Anolis sagrei: one gene and its partner. The protein of the gene in region 1 interacts with the protein of each later gene in a pairwise test. Links are inferred from orthologs where the notes say so. Each region holds a gene or a part of one and is shown on either strand. Other genes may lie near its edges.

The links.
Region 2: the proteins of FCHSD2 (region 1) and ABCF3 interact in binary tests that used the Homo sapiens proteins (3 or more experiments, as listed by UniProt). The two-hybrid records come from large-scale screens. The link is inferred for Anolis sagrei from reciprocal best matches to the Homo sapiens genes FCHSD2 and ABCF3.

What each region holds. Positions count from the first base shown.
Region 1 is NC_090023.1:6,963,048-6,970,093, reverse strand, and holds the start of FCHSD2 (F-BAR and double SH3 domains protein 2), read right to left. Parts: upstream 3,021-7,046; 5' UTR 2,854-3,020; coding exon 2,833-2,853; intron 1-2,832. UniProt on the Homo sapiens protein: Adapter protein that plays a role in endocytosis via clathrin-coated pits. Contributes to the internalization of cell surface receptors, such as integrin ITGB1 and transferrin receptor.
Region 2 is NC_090023.1:263,135,012-263,142,725, reverse strand, and holds the start of ABCF3 (ATP-binding cassette sub-family F member 3), read left to right. Parts: upstream 1-4,696; 5' UTR 4,697-4,753; coding exon 4,754-4,829; intron 4,830-7,714.

The sequences.
Region 1 (7,046 bases):
TGGGTAGCACTTGAGGTCTCCCACCTCTACAATTCTATGACTGAATCTGTGAATATGTGAAGGTGAGCTGTATCTTGCTGCAGCCTGCCTCTAAACACTCTTCCATTTGACAAACCCAATTTCCAAATCTCTAAAGCACTGCTGCGTAGCCCCATGTCACCTTCAGCCTGCCAGTGCCTCCAACAGCTTCAGTGCAGTTAAAAATCCTAAACAGAAATGTCTCCTCATTCTGACAAAACCTTTGCAGCATGCCTTTCTCTTTCTTTGGCATCTTCAGCACCTTTTCTCCTCCTGTGGCCTCTCTCTTCAGCACTATCTCCTTTTCCACCTGACTGCAACCTGTCGCAATCCGGCTCCCTTTTGACTCGAGTGTTTCTTCTATCAGACCATGCAATTTACCTGCCAGCCCCCTCCTCGAGGGATTACAAGTCCTGTTCTGGTGCCTTTTCCGTCTCAACTGCCCTTCCAGAGAAGCAAACCTTGCAGCACCTGTCTTAATACCACAGATACGGGCAGCGGTGGCATATCCTTATGCTCACAAGAAGCCAAGGCACACAAAAGAGCCCCTTCTCCAAAAGATATCCTCACTGATTCACTCCACAACTCTATGAAGCCTCTGGCACCTTTCAGCTAGGTGTGTGTCCTTCTCCTTTACACTTTACCTGGTCAGTTCCATCATACCTCTGCTCCCATATGGCAGCCACCTCCTTCTTTTCTATGCCACCTTGTCAACCAATAACAGCAATAATAATAATAATAATAATAATAATAATATAGGATGCTACCTTGTCAGGTAATAATAATAATAGTATGCCACCTTGTCAGACAATAGTAATAATATAATATTATAATAATAGTATGTTGCCTTGTCAGACAATAATACTATCATTGTATGCCGCCTTGTCAGACAAAAATAATAATAGTATAATAATAGTATGCTATCTTGTCCGCCAATAATAATACAATATTATAATAATAGTATGCCGCCTTATCAGCCAATAGTAATAATATATTATAATAGTAGTATGCTGCCTTGTCAGCCAATAATAATAATATAATAGTAAGCTGCCTTATCAGCCAATAATACTAATAATATATTGTTATAATAGTATGCTGCCTTATCAGCCAATAATAATAATATAATAGTATGCTGCCTTGTCAGCCAATAATAACAATAATAATATTTTATAGTAATAGCATGTCCCCTTGTCAGACAATAGTAATAATATAATATTATAATAGTAGTATGCTGCCTTATCAGCCAATAATAATAATAATAATATAATAGTATGCTGCCTTGTCAGCCAATAATACTAATAATATATTATAATAATAGTATGCTGCCTTGTCAGCCAATAACAACAATAATATATTCTGCTTTGTCAGCCAATAGTAGTAATAATCATGTATTACTATTATATTAGAATGCTGCTTTGTCAGCCAATACTAATAATATAATATTATAATAGTAGTACGCTGCCTTATCAGCCAATAATAATAATATAATAGTATGGTGCCTTATCAGCCAATAATAATAATAATAATAATAATGTATTGTAATAATAGCATGCTGCCTTGTCAGCCAATAATAAGAATAATAATAATAAATTATAATAATAGCATGCCCCATTGTCAGACAATAGTAATAATATAATAGTAATAATATAATATAATAATAGTAGTATGCTGCCTTATCAGCCAATAATAACAATATAATAGTATACCGCCTTATCAGCCAATAATAATATAATATAATAAGAGTATGCTGCTTTGTCAGCCAATAATAATAACAATAATAATAATAATATATTATAGTAATAGCATGTCCCCTTGTCAGACAATAGTAATAATATAATATTATAATAGTAGTATGCTGCCTTATCAGCCAATAACAAGAATAATAATATAGCAGTAGTATACCACCTTGTAACCAATAATAATAATAATAATAATAATAATAATATAATAATAATAGCATGCCGCCTTGTCAGCCAATAGTAATAATATAATAGTAATAATATAATATAATATTATAATAGTAGTATGGTGTCTTATCAGCTAATAATAATATAATAGTATGCTGCCTTGTCAGCCAATAATAATAATAATAAATTATAATAATAGCATGCCCCATTGTCGGACAATAGTAATAATATAATAGTAATAATATAATATATTATAATAGTAGCATGCTGCCTTATCAGCCAATAATAATAATAATAACAACAATAATAATAATATAGTAGTATACTGCCTTGTCAGCCATTAATAATAATAATATATTATTATAATAATAGTATGCCGCCTTGTCAGACAATAGTAATAATATAATATTATAATAGTAGTATGCTGCCTTGTCAGCCAATAATAATAATAATATAGTAGTAGTATGCTGCCTTGTCAGCCAATACTACTAATAATATATTATAATAATAATAGTATTCTGCCTTGTCAGCCAATAGTGATAACAATACACCTGCTGCTGCCACCACCTCTTCTTCTTGTGACACCTTGTCAGCCAATAACGATACCTTATGATTGCTCTAGGAATAGGGCCTCCTCATAATAATAATAGTAATAATAATGAATTAATTAATGAATAATGGGGATGCCCCCACCTCCTTTCCCTCCCTCCCTCCCGAGGCGACCTTGGCAGCCCTCCACTCTCTCCCTGGCCAGGCCCCTTCCCCATCCCTTGCCGCCCCTTTCCTCCTCAGGCAGGCATTCCTTTTCACCTCAGGCTCCCCATCATGGCCTCCCTCCCTCCCTCTCTCTGAAGCCCCCCTCCGTCGTGAGGCGCCTCTCTCCCTCCCTCTCTCTCTCTGGGCTCACCTTCCTCGGCGGGGGCTGCATGGCGGCGGCGGCGGGGCCGCTCTGGGCCTCCACATCAATCCCTTCCCCGCCCTGGACGGCGGCGGCAGTAGTAATAAGAAGAGCGGCAAAGAGAAGGAGACGCCAGACGCGGTCCTTCTTCTCCTTCTTCTTCTCCTTCTGCAGCAGCAGCAGCCGAAGCGAGCGGTGGGAGGGGCGGCGCGAGGATGAGGAGGGGGCGTGGCCGGGAGTGCAGGGGGCGTGGCCAAATTGGGAGGGAGGGAGGGAAGGGAAGGGACGGCGCGCGCGTGTGAGAAGCTCGCGCCACCTAGCGGTCGACAGGGAGTTGGAAAAGGGGGCGTGGCTGTTGGAGGGGAAAGGGGGCGTGGCCGAAGAAGGGCTGGAAGGAATGGGAGCCGGACAAGACAAAAGGTGAAAGGGGGCGTGACCCAAACGGAATGGGCGTGGCCAAGAAAGAAGGGGCGTGGCCAAGGAATTGTCCATTTTCTTCACTTAGTAAGGGAGATAGCGGGAAAGAGTGCGCGTGCGCAGAAGGATCTCCGAGGAGAGGAAAGGGAGAGAAGGGGCGTGGCCTTAAAAGGGGGCGTGGCCTAAAGGGGGCTGCATTTCTCTTTGTAAAAGAGAAGGAAAGGCTCTCCGAGGACATGAAAGGGAGAGAAGGGGCGTGGCCTTAAAGAGGGCGTGGTCAAGGACCTGTCTGTTTCTCTCACTTGGTAAGGGACAGAGCGAGAAAGTGTGCGCGTGCGCAGAAAGGAAAGGGAGAGAAGGGGCGCGGCCTTAGAGGAGGCGTGGCCAAGGACCTGTCTGTTTCTCTCACTTGATAAGGGACAGAGCGAGAAAGTGTGCGCGTGCGCAGAAAGGAGAGGAAAGGGAGAGAAGGGGCGTGACCTTAGAGGGGGCGTGGCCAAGGGGGCTGCATTTCTCTTTGTAAAAGAGAGAGCGAGAAAGAGGGAAGGCGTGGCCTAAAGGAGGCGTGGACCTGTCTGTTTCTCTCACTTGGTAAGGTAGATAGCGAGAAAGAATGCGCGTGCGCAGAAAGATCCCCGAAGAGCGGAAAGGGAGAGAAGGGGCGTGGCCTTAAAGGGGCGTGGTCAAAAGCGGGAACGAGTACGCATGCGCAGCAGAATCTCCGAGTAGGGGAAAGTAAAGGAAGGGAAGGGGCGTGGCTTAGAAGGGGGCGTGACCAAAGAACTGGATTTCCCTCACTTGCTAAGGGAGATAATGAGAAAGAGTGCGCGTGCGCAGAAGGATCTTCCGAGGAGGGAGAAGGAAAGGGAAGGAAGGGACGTGGCCTAGAAGGGGGCGTGGCCAAGGGTCTGTCCGTTTCCCTCAATGGGTAAGGGAGATAATGCGAAAGATAGCGCGTGCGCAGAAGAATCTTCCGAGGAGGGAAAGGGAGAGAAGGGGCGTGGCCAAAGAACTGACCATTTCCCTCACTTCGTAAATAAAAGAGCGCATGCGCAAAGGAATCTCCACCCTCCCCACTTTAGGGAGAGGTCCCTAAAGAAAGCGTGAGAAGAGGGTGTGGTCTGGTTTGGTCACGCCCTCATATAGGCCACGCCCGTTTTCTCCATTCTCGTTGAAATGGCGAGACAAGGCATCTTCGCGCCCCTTTAGTAGGCGGGACTTGAAGAGTACAAAGGGGGCGGGGCTACAAAGGGGGCGTGGCAACAGAGGGCTTGGTTCATAGAGAACAATTGGAATTAATGACAGAAAGAGGCAAGAGCGAGAGAAGGGGGCGTGGCCAAGGGATAAGGAAAGAGAGAGACAGCCAAAAGGGGGCGCTGCCGCCTAATTACGGCAAAACACAACTGTGCGTGCGCAGGGGGAGAATTTGAGCGGAGGATGTGTGCGCATGCACTCGTTTCACACCGCCTGGCTATAAAAGCTGCCACTGCGCATGCCCGGTCGGCTTAGCTCTTCCCTCCTGTCTCCTATTGGCAAATCCTAAAGCTATGCTCTTACTCCCTCTAGTGGCCGGATGCTGAAGAAGGCAGCCTGGCAGTCTCTTTGCCTTGGGAAGAGTGCCAGATGTTGTGCTATGGAATGAATGAAGTTGCCAAGTCAATCAGTGCAGGCATCTATATAAAACTGGTCCTTTAGCGCTCTAACTGGAGGTCAGCTGTGACCAGCAGTGCTGCAGAATTCGAAGAGGCACGAATGGAGGGCGAAAGGGAGAAACGTGCCAAGAGCAAGGCGTGTCAAGCCTGTTAACGTGGGCAAAATAATCGCGGAAGCACTGAATAATGGACTCTGGAGTCTCTGGTAAAAAGCAGGTTTCAGGTTTACTTGAGCAGTTCAAAAATACAACATACGCCATCAGCAGACAAACGTGGAGAACACAAAACGAAAGAGATAGGCACTTAAACTGCAGCTGGAAGGGAGGTTATCTCTGGCACTCTCTAAACTTGCACACAGCAAGAATTCAGGGTCACATTCTCACAGCGTTCTCTGTAAACATACATTCTTGCAATACAATTCTATTACAATTTTCATGCTACTACATAAAATTATATTTAAACATACATCATACATAAAATACACTGACAAAGCCAACACTAGGACCGGGACCGCCTTTCATAGCTTGAGGATGATGATCTTCCAGATGTGAGTGAGTCCGTAGGTGGCTGTGGAGCCCTATTCTTGATCCACATGTTCTCCTGCAGTGAGGACATCGGTTTCCAATGGAATGCGGTCCTGGTCAGGGTTGGCATGATGTGCATTTCTCTTGGCACGTTTCTCCCTTTCGCCCTCCATTCGTGCCTCTTCGAATTCTGCAGCACTGCTGGTCACAGCTGACCTCCAGTTAGAGCGCTCAAGGGCCAGGGCTTCCCAGTTCTTGGTGTCTATGCCACAGTTTCAGTCTCTTTTCCTGTCCTTCAATGTTCCTTTTTCCATTCTTGAGTTGGGAGTAGAATAACTGCTTTTGGAGATGGATGCTAAGCAGGGTCACCCCTGGCTAAGACTTGGATGGGAGACCACCAATGAATACCAGGTACTGTAAATTTTATATAATTATTAGCATAAGAATAGTACAATATTACTATATTGTACTATATTATTTATTCATTTCAGGTACTTCTACCCCGCCCTTCCCAACCTCCGAGGGGGGACTCGGGGCGGCTTACAGAAAGGCACAGTTCAATGATTGCACAACATACACATAACGTATAAAACCATAGTTAAAACAATTATCACAGTTAAAAACAATCAGTATATAACACATCAATAAAACTATTCTCATGCTCAGCGTTCGTCTTACAGAGTTCCATTATATTGTAATATATAATATACCATTATATTTTAATATTATTAGTAATATTACATGTAATATAAATATATAATTATGAGATATTAGCAGTAGTAATATATTGCATTACATTATAATATTACAATATATTATATTATACTTTAGCCTCTCATTGGAAGGATAGTCATGTATACAATGATATGGAACACCTTAATTTCTCATTTCATCATGAGTTCAAACACAGGAGTAAAGGTCCTACTGACTCATCTATTTTGATAGCATGTTTTGGTCATTCCTCGGGGACAAGCTTTTACTAATGGAGTCCAGCTGTTGCAATCCGGTTCTATTATGAGGAGGCCGAAACCCTCCCACAGATTCAGTGGGGATTTATTCTCTTCCAGTTGTAAAAACACCTACCAAAAATGCCAGGAGGACAACAATAATACAACATTGGAAAACAAGGATGCAACGTGGGTGTCAAAAAGACTCACATTACAATATATTTTGCATGCTGTTGCTTGCTTAGAAGTTCCTAAGAAACATCTGGAAAAGCTAGCTTGGGGTTATGGAATGTGTTCTCCAAAACATCTGGAGGTGCCAAATTGGGGAAAGGTCGTCTGGAGGATCTGTGTCAGAAAGAGAATTCTGATGGTTTGAATGCTGGAAACTATTGTTCTGTTGATGCAACCTAGAACTGCATTGGCATTATTTGCTGCTTCATCACACCGCTGACTCTTCTTTAGCACGTGGTCTAAAATCAATAAAGGTTCTGCCCGATCTTGGATGCTAAGCAGGGTCGCCCCTGGCTAAGACTTGGATGGGAGACCACCAATGGATACCAGGTACTGTAAATTTTATTTCAGAGGACTTACTTACTTAGGCGATCCCTCGTTGGCCAAGTAGGATAGTCTTCCAGGATCAGTGTTCTGGTAGGTCCGTAGGTGACTGTGGAGCCCTATTCTTG
Region 2 (7,714 bases), about 260 Mb from region 1:
CCCTTCTCCAAGCTTTCCTCTCTTCTCAAAATGTGGCCAAAGTACTTCATCTTTTTCACAGACCTCCCAAAAACGTTTTCACACTCCTCCCAAAAACAGGAAGGTAGCCGTATGGCCATTTTCATTCTGCAGCTGAAAAATACAGCCAGATCCGGCCCATTGGCAGCAATAAGGAACTTACGAGGTTCCCCTTTCTGTTCCTGGGACACTTTCCTTTCTTCCCTTCAAGGAAGCCTGGGTTTCAGCAACGGAGTTAAGGAAGCAGACACAGTTTACGTAAGACACGTTATGGCATTCTTCTACTCCAACAGGCCAGGCTCATCGGAAAGCCCCGTGCAAGAAGGAGCATGCGGCAGCCTCTATGCCTGCAGAGTGCTTCCAAAAAGAAGAAGAAGAAGAAGAAGAAGAAGAAGAAGAAGAACAACAACAACAACAACTTTATTTTTCTACCCCGCCTCCATCTCTCCGAAGGGACTTGGGGCGGCTTACATGGGGCCCAAGCCCAAGCAAAATACAATTAAAAACAAAGCAAAAACAATTAAAACAGCGTAAAACAGTGTAAAACAACATAACAATAATAGCTAGCAACAACAATAACAGCAAACTAATTTTGGAGGGGAGTGGGAGGAAAGAACACTACATGAACTAGTTAAAGGATAAAAGGGGAGAAGAGCCTTGATTGGCTACCGCGTAGTCCCATTACGGATGGGAAACCATGACGGCTAGGCCCTTGCCGTTATGGCTATCCAACCAAGCTGAAGAATCCAGATTGGCCAAAGGAAAATGGCTAAAATGGATCCGCACACAAGCCTAGTATTTTTGTATGTGATAGGATGCCCTGCAATGCAAAAGTTTTCCCTATAAAGGATACAATTTTTCTGTTATCAGTTTCCGAAAAGCAAATTAATGCACTCTTTTTGGAAATCAAATTAGCATTCTTTTTGCATAATAATAATAATAATAATAATAATAATAATAATAAACAACGTTATTTTTAACCCACCCTCTCTCCCCAAAGGGACTCAGGGAGCTTCCATCAGGTAGAATGGGCATCTCATTGAAGTGAAGACAAAGAAGGCACATCACAACTTGAGTGGACTTACAACTGAGGAAATTAGTACTGAGCAGTTCCATAATGTACTTATCCAGTAAAGCAGCATTTCTCAACCTAGGGGTTGGGACCCCTGGAGGGGTTGTGAAGTGGGTGTCAGAGGGGTCAGCAAAGACCATCAGAACACACTGTATTTTCTGTTGGTCATGGGAGTTCTGTGTGGGAAGTTTGGCCCAATCCTATCAAAATGCTCTTTGACTGGAGGTGAACTATAAATCCCAGCAACAACAACTCCAAAATGTCAAGGTCTATTTTCCCCAAACTCCACCAGTGTTTATATTTGGGCATATTGAGTATTTGTGCCAAGTTTGGTCCAGATCCATCACTGTTTGAGTCCACAGCGCTCTCTGAATGTAGGTGAACTACAACTCCAAAACTCAAGGTCAATGCCCACCAAACCCTTCCAGTATTTTCTGTCATGGGAGTTCTGTGTACCAAGATTGGTTCTATTCCATCGTTGGTGGAGTTCAGAATGCTCTTTGATTGTAGGTGAACTATAAATCCCAGCAACTACAACTTCCAAATGACAAAATCATTTTTGGGCATATGAGATATTTGTGCCAAATTTGGTCCAGTGAATGAAAATGCATCCTGCATATCAGATACTTACACTGCATTTCATAACAGAAGCAAAATTACAGTTATGAAGTAGCAATTACAGTAATTTTATGGTTGGGGGTCACCACAACATGAGGAACTGTATTAAGGGGTCATGGCATTAGGAAGGTTGAGAAACACTGCAGTAAAGGGTCACTAAAATGTTCTTACATAGGGGAGCCAGTGGCATAGTCAACACGACAACCATCATCCTCTAATCCAGTGGTTCTCAACCTGGGGTCCCCAGATGTTTTTGGCTACAACTCCCAGAAATCCCAGCCAGTTTACCAGCTGTTAGGATTTCTGGGAGTTGAAGGCCAAAAACATCTGGGGACCCCAGGTTGAGAACCACTGTTCTAATCTGTTGTGGCCTCACTGTCATCTATTATATGAAACAAACAAGTGGTTTGTTGGACAAATAACTTTTCACGTGTTCATATTTGATGGGGGGAGGAGTTGTGATTTCCTGAATCCACAGAATAGACATGCCAATATTGTGAATTCATGGCTTAGAAATTACAGCACTTGTGTGAACTGACTGCTCCAGCAAAAAAGGACAGCTGCCAGTAAGAGAAATTAAACTCCTTGAGATCCAGGTTGTTCCTGCCCTAACCGAAGCTAACTCCTGCTCTCTAAGGCAAAGAAGAGGAGTAACCTTTGCCATCATTGAGATCCCTCCAAAACAGCAGAACTAGAACAGAAATAACACTTAATACAAAATGTAGACTTCTGGTTAATTTTCACCTCCTGTATGATTTCAACAGCTTTTGCCTGATGAAGAAGCAGCCAGTGGAGCTTTTAAAACTTAAATGATGTATTTTGTGTGTTGCGGTTTGCCATTAAGATATCACTCCTTTCTGGGTTTTATTCTATTTCATTTGCCTGACCAACATCACTGCTCCTAGGTGAAATTCTGACATTTGAAATGTTGTGAAATGCCTGTTCTGATACAGTCCAATACTCCCATCTAGTGGTTGAAATGAACAATGCAAAAGATACATGATTATCACCATTAATGATAATGATGATGATAAAAATATTTATATTGTGTCAGAAAAGACTTGAGAAACTGCAAGTCACTTCTGATGTGAGGGAATTGGCCGTCTGCAAGGACGTTGCCCAGGGGGTGCCCACAGTGTTACCATCCTGTGGGAGCATTCTCTCATGTCCCCACATGGGAAGCTGGAACTGACAGACAGGAGCTCATCCCATCTCGCAGATTCGAACCATCGATCTTCCATTCTTCAGGTCAGCATTTCCACCGGCACAATGGTTTACCCCACTGCACCACCGCAGCTCTGTAATAATAAAGAATAAGAATAATAACAAAACAAATAGTACATAAACAAAGTATGGATTATCGATGTTGCAATTTATTATTTATTTATTTCGCACATTTTTACCCCACCCTTCTCAACCCCCGAGGTGGTCCCAGTAGTGATCGGCACACTGGGTGCAGTGCCTAAAGACCTTGGCCTGCACTTAAACACAATCGGTGCTGACAAAATTACCATCTGCCAGCTGCGAAAGGCCACCCTACTGGGATCTGCACGCATTATTTGCCGATACATCACACAGTCCTAGACACTTGGGAAGGGTCCGACGTGTGATCCAATACAACAGTCAGCAGAGTGATCTTGTCTGCTGTGGACTCATCTTGTTGTGTTTCAAATAACAACAACAACAATGTATTGCATTGTTTTGAGTCCACAGCGCTCTCTGGATGTAGTTGAACTACAACTCCCAAATTCAAGGTCAACGCCTACCAAACCCTTCCAGTATTTTCTGTTTGTCGTGGGAATTCTATGTGCCAATTCCATCGTTGGTGGAGTTCAGAATGCTCTTTGATTGTAGGTGAACTATAAATCCCAGCAAATACAACTCCCAAATGCCGAGGCCTATTTTCCCCAAACTCCACCAGTGTTCACATTTGGGTATATTGAGTATTTTCTGTTGGTCATGTGAGTTCTGTGTGCCAAGTTTGGTTCTATTCCATCATTGGTGGAGTTCTGAATGCTCTTTGATGGTAGGTGAACTATAAATCCCAGCAAATACAACTCCCAAATTGCAAGTCTATTTTCCCCAAACTGCACCAGTGTTCACATTTGGGCATACTGAGTATTTGTGTCAAGTTTGGTCCAGATCCATCATTGTTTGAGTTCACAGTGCTCTCTGGAAGTACTTGAACTACAACTCCCAAACTCAAGGTCAATGCCCACCAAACCCTTCCAGTATTTATTGTTTGTCGTGGGAGTTTTGTTTGCCAAGTTTAGTTCTATTCCATTGTTGGTGGAGTTCAGAATGCTCTTTGATTGTAGGTGAACTATAAATCCCAGCAACTACAACTCCCAAATGTCAAGGTATATTTTCCCAAACTCCACCAGTGTTCACATTTGGGCATATTGAGTATTTTCTGTTGGTCATGAGAGTTCTGTGTACCAAGTTTGGTTCAATTCCATCATTGGTGGGGTTCAGAATGCTCTTTGATTGTAGGTGAACTATACATCCCAGCAAATACAACTGCTTTCCCCTTTTCAGTGCTTTTTGACATCAGCCTCCTTGCGCCGCCTATTGAGGAATGAAAGGAAGGCGAGAAATCAGCTTTGGACTTCAACTCCCAGAAATCCTAGTCATTAGTCAAAGCAGCTGAGGCTTCTGGGAGTTGAAGTCCTCAAAAGCTAGCGTTCGGGAATGGTTGGTGTTTGTGAGGCATACCAATAGCAACCCGCCTCCTACTGGGGAATGAAAGGAAGGCGTGAAATCAGCTTTGGACTTCAACTCCCAGAAATCCTAATCATTAGTCAAAGCAGCTGAGGCTTCTGGGAGTTGAAGTCCTCCAAAGCTAGCGTTCGGGAATGAGTCGTGCACCAATAGCAAGGGCCCCTTTCCCGGCGGCCCTTGCGGCTGGCCAAAGACATGGCGGCTCGGGCGGCGCGCGCCTCCCCCCTCCTCTCATTCTGATTGGACACAGGCTCCGTTTCCCGGCGGCCTCCGCAGCGGACGTCGACGTCACGGGCCCGAGCGGCGTCTGAGGGGAGCCCGGCAATGGCGGCCTCCTGCGCGGACATCTTGCGGAGGGAGTTCCCAGAACTCGACGGGGAGATGTTCGACTACGTGACCGGTGAGCCGAAGGCGGGTGGCTTGGGTTCCAGCCAAGGAATGCCGGGGAGGGGCGGTGGGATTGACCCCAAACTGCATTCATTCTACAATGGAGATCAGGCATGGGCAAACATGGGCCCTCCAGGCCTTTTGGACTCCAACTCCCACAATTCCTAACAGCCTACGGCTGTTAGGAATTGTGGGAGTTGGAATCCAAAAGGCCTGGAGGGCCCAAGTTTGCCAATACCTGCACTATAGAGCTCATAGAATAATATGAGTTAGAAGAGATATTGGGTGGCAACCTGTGCACTCCCCCTGAAATCACAGGACTCAGCGCAGACGCTTGATGCGCAGGTGTCGGCGGTGGCCAGGAAAATAAAACTTGTGCGCCAACTGCGACCTTACCTTGTGAAGTCTGACTTGACCATGGTGATCCATGCCTTAGTTACCTTTAGACTGACTACTGTAATGCACTCTACGTGGGACTACCCATGAAGACGGGCGGGAAACTACAACTTGTCCAACGTTCAGCAGACAGATTACTGCCTCTGGACCGTGCCCTGACCTACAAGAAGCACTGCCTGAACATCAAGCAAAAAGTGGGCGCTAGAAACAATATCATACGAAAGCTGACTGGCACAACCTGGGGGTCACAACCAGACACAGTGAAGACATCTGCCCTTGCGCTATGCCACTCTGCTGCTGAGTATGCATGCCCAGTGTGGAATACATCTCACCACACTAAAACAGTGGATGTGGCTCTGGATGAGACATGCCGCATTATCACGGGGTGTCTGCGCCCTACACCACTGGAGAAATTACACTGCTTAGCCAGTATTGCACCACCTGACATCCGCCGGGAAGTAGCAGCCAATAGTGAAAGGACCAAGGCAGAGACATCTCCATCTCATCCTCTGTATGGGTATCAGCCAGCCCGTCAACGACTTAAATCTACAAATAGTTTTCTAAGATCTACAGGGACACTCGCTGGAACACCTCAGCAAGCGAGAGTTCAAAAGTGGCAGGCTCAAACCCAGAACCTCAATCCGTGGGTGATATCAAATGAGAGACTCCCCCCTGGGCACACAGAGGACTTGGTGACTTTGGAAGGCGCTGAACAGACTGCGCTCTGGCACCACAAGATGCAGAGCCAACCTTCAGAAATGGGGCCACAAAGTGGAATCCTCGACATGCGAGTGTGGAGAGGAGAAAACCACTGACCACCTGCTGCAATGCAACCCGAGCCCTGCCACATGCACAATGGAGGACCTTCTTGCAGCAACACCAGAAGCACTCCAAGTGGCCAGATACTGGTCAAAAGACATTTAACCAACTACCAAACTCACAAACGTTGTATTTTACCTGTTTGTTTGCTTTGTTCTGTTAGAAATGTAATATAATTGACTGGTTGATCTGACACGACAAATAAATAGCAGCCAGATTAATAACTGGGGCGACTTACAGGGAGCGGTCAACCCTACTGTTTAAGGAGCTCCACTGGCTGCCGTTTATTTTCCGGTCCCAATTCAAGGTGCAGGTTATCACCTATAAAACCCCAAAACGGTTTGGGACCCGCCTACCTTCGTGTCCGTATCTCCCTCCATGAACCAACTCGGGCGCTCCGTTCTACCGTTCTTCTTTTGCCCCTGCCAATTTCACAAGCTTGCCTGGTAAGTACAAGGGAGATAGCTTTTTCCTCTGTGGCCCCCCTGACTCTGGAACTCACTACCTGGAGAAATTAGGAAAGCCCCTACCCTAGAAACCTTTAAAAAGAACCTTAAATCCTGCCTCTTCCGCTGCGCTTTTAATTAATAGGTTTACATTTTCACACTATTGCTTAGCCTCAACGTTTTGTAATTGGAGTACATGTCCCCCGCCCCCCTTGTGGGAAAGCTTGATTCCACAACCACTACTATAATGAGTCCTCCTCCGCAAATAATCTGTCTCTTTCTTATCTCGCCTGAGTTTTAATCAGTTTTAATCAATCTCTCTTTTAACCATTGCATGTAGCCCGCCCATTGTCATTGTGCCTATTGTAATTCTATATTGCTATGTTTTCACATGTTTTATGTAATTATGTTGTTGTTTATTGTTTGCGTTTTCGGTTTTATTTTATTGTAATTTGCTGTCTGGGCTTGGCCTCATGTGAGCCACTCCGAGTCCCCATTGGGGATATGGTGGCGGGCTATAAATAAAGATTATTATTATTATTATTATTATTATTAGAGATCCATGGGTCATCTAGTCCAGCCTCCTGCCATGCAAGAAAAACACAATCAAAACAATAATATATTAATAATAAACTTTATTTATTACCCACCACGCTCTCACCAAAGGGGACTCGGGGTGGCTAACATGAGGCCAAGCCCAAAAGTAATACAGAATAATTAGACAAAAAGCAATGGAGAAATACATCATAACATAAAATATATAAAATAACAAATAAATAGACAGTACAAAGTAGCATAGTAGAATCAAACACAAAGGGCGGTCCAAATGTATGAGATAAAATGTTAAAACACTGGGTGAAATGGGAATAAAAAAGTGTATTTGTAGGAGAGGAGCCCAAGAAGGAGGAGCAGTGGGTTTGGTCTTTATAAAGGACAGGGGGTGGTGTATCATGAGGACAACTGTAGGTGGGAACAAACAAATGGGTTGAATAGTCACTCTCCGAAGGCACATCGGAACAGCCAAGTTTTTAGATCTTTCTTAAAGACTGCTAAAGTAGGGGCTTGCCTGGTCTCCCCAGATAGTGAGTTCCAAAGGGGGGGGGGCACAGCAGAGAACGTCCTCTCCCCTGCCAAGAAGCAAGAATATTGCATTCAAATCACCCCTGACAGATGGCCATCCAGTCTCTGTTTTAAAGCTTCCAACGCTTCGAAATATGTGCAGTTGATCTTTGGAACG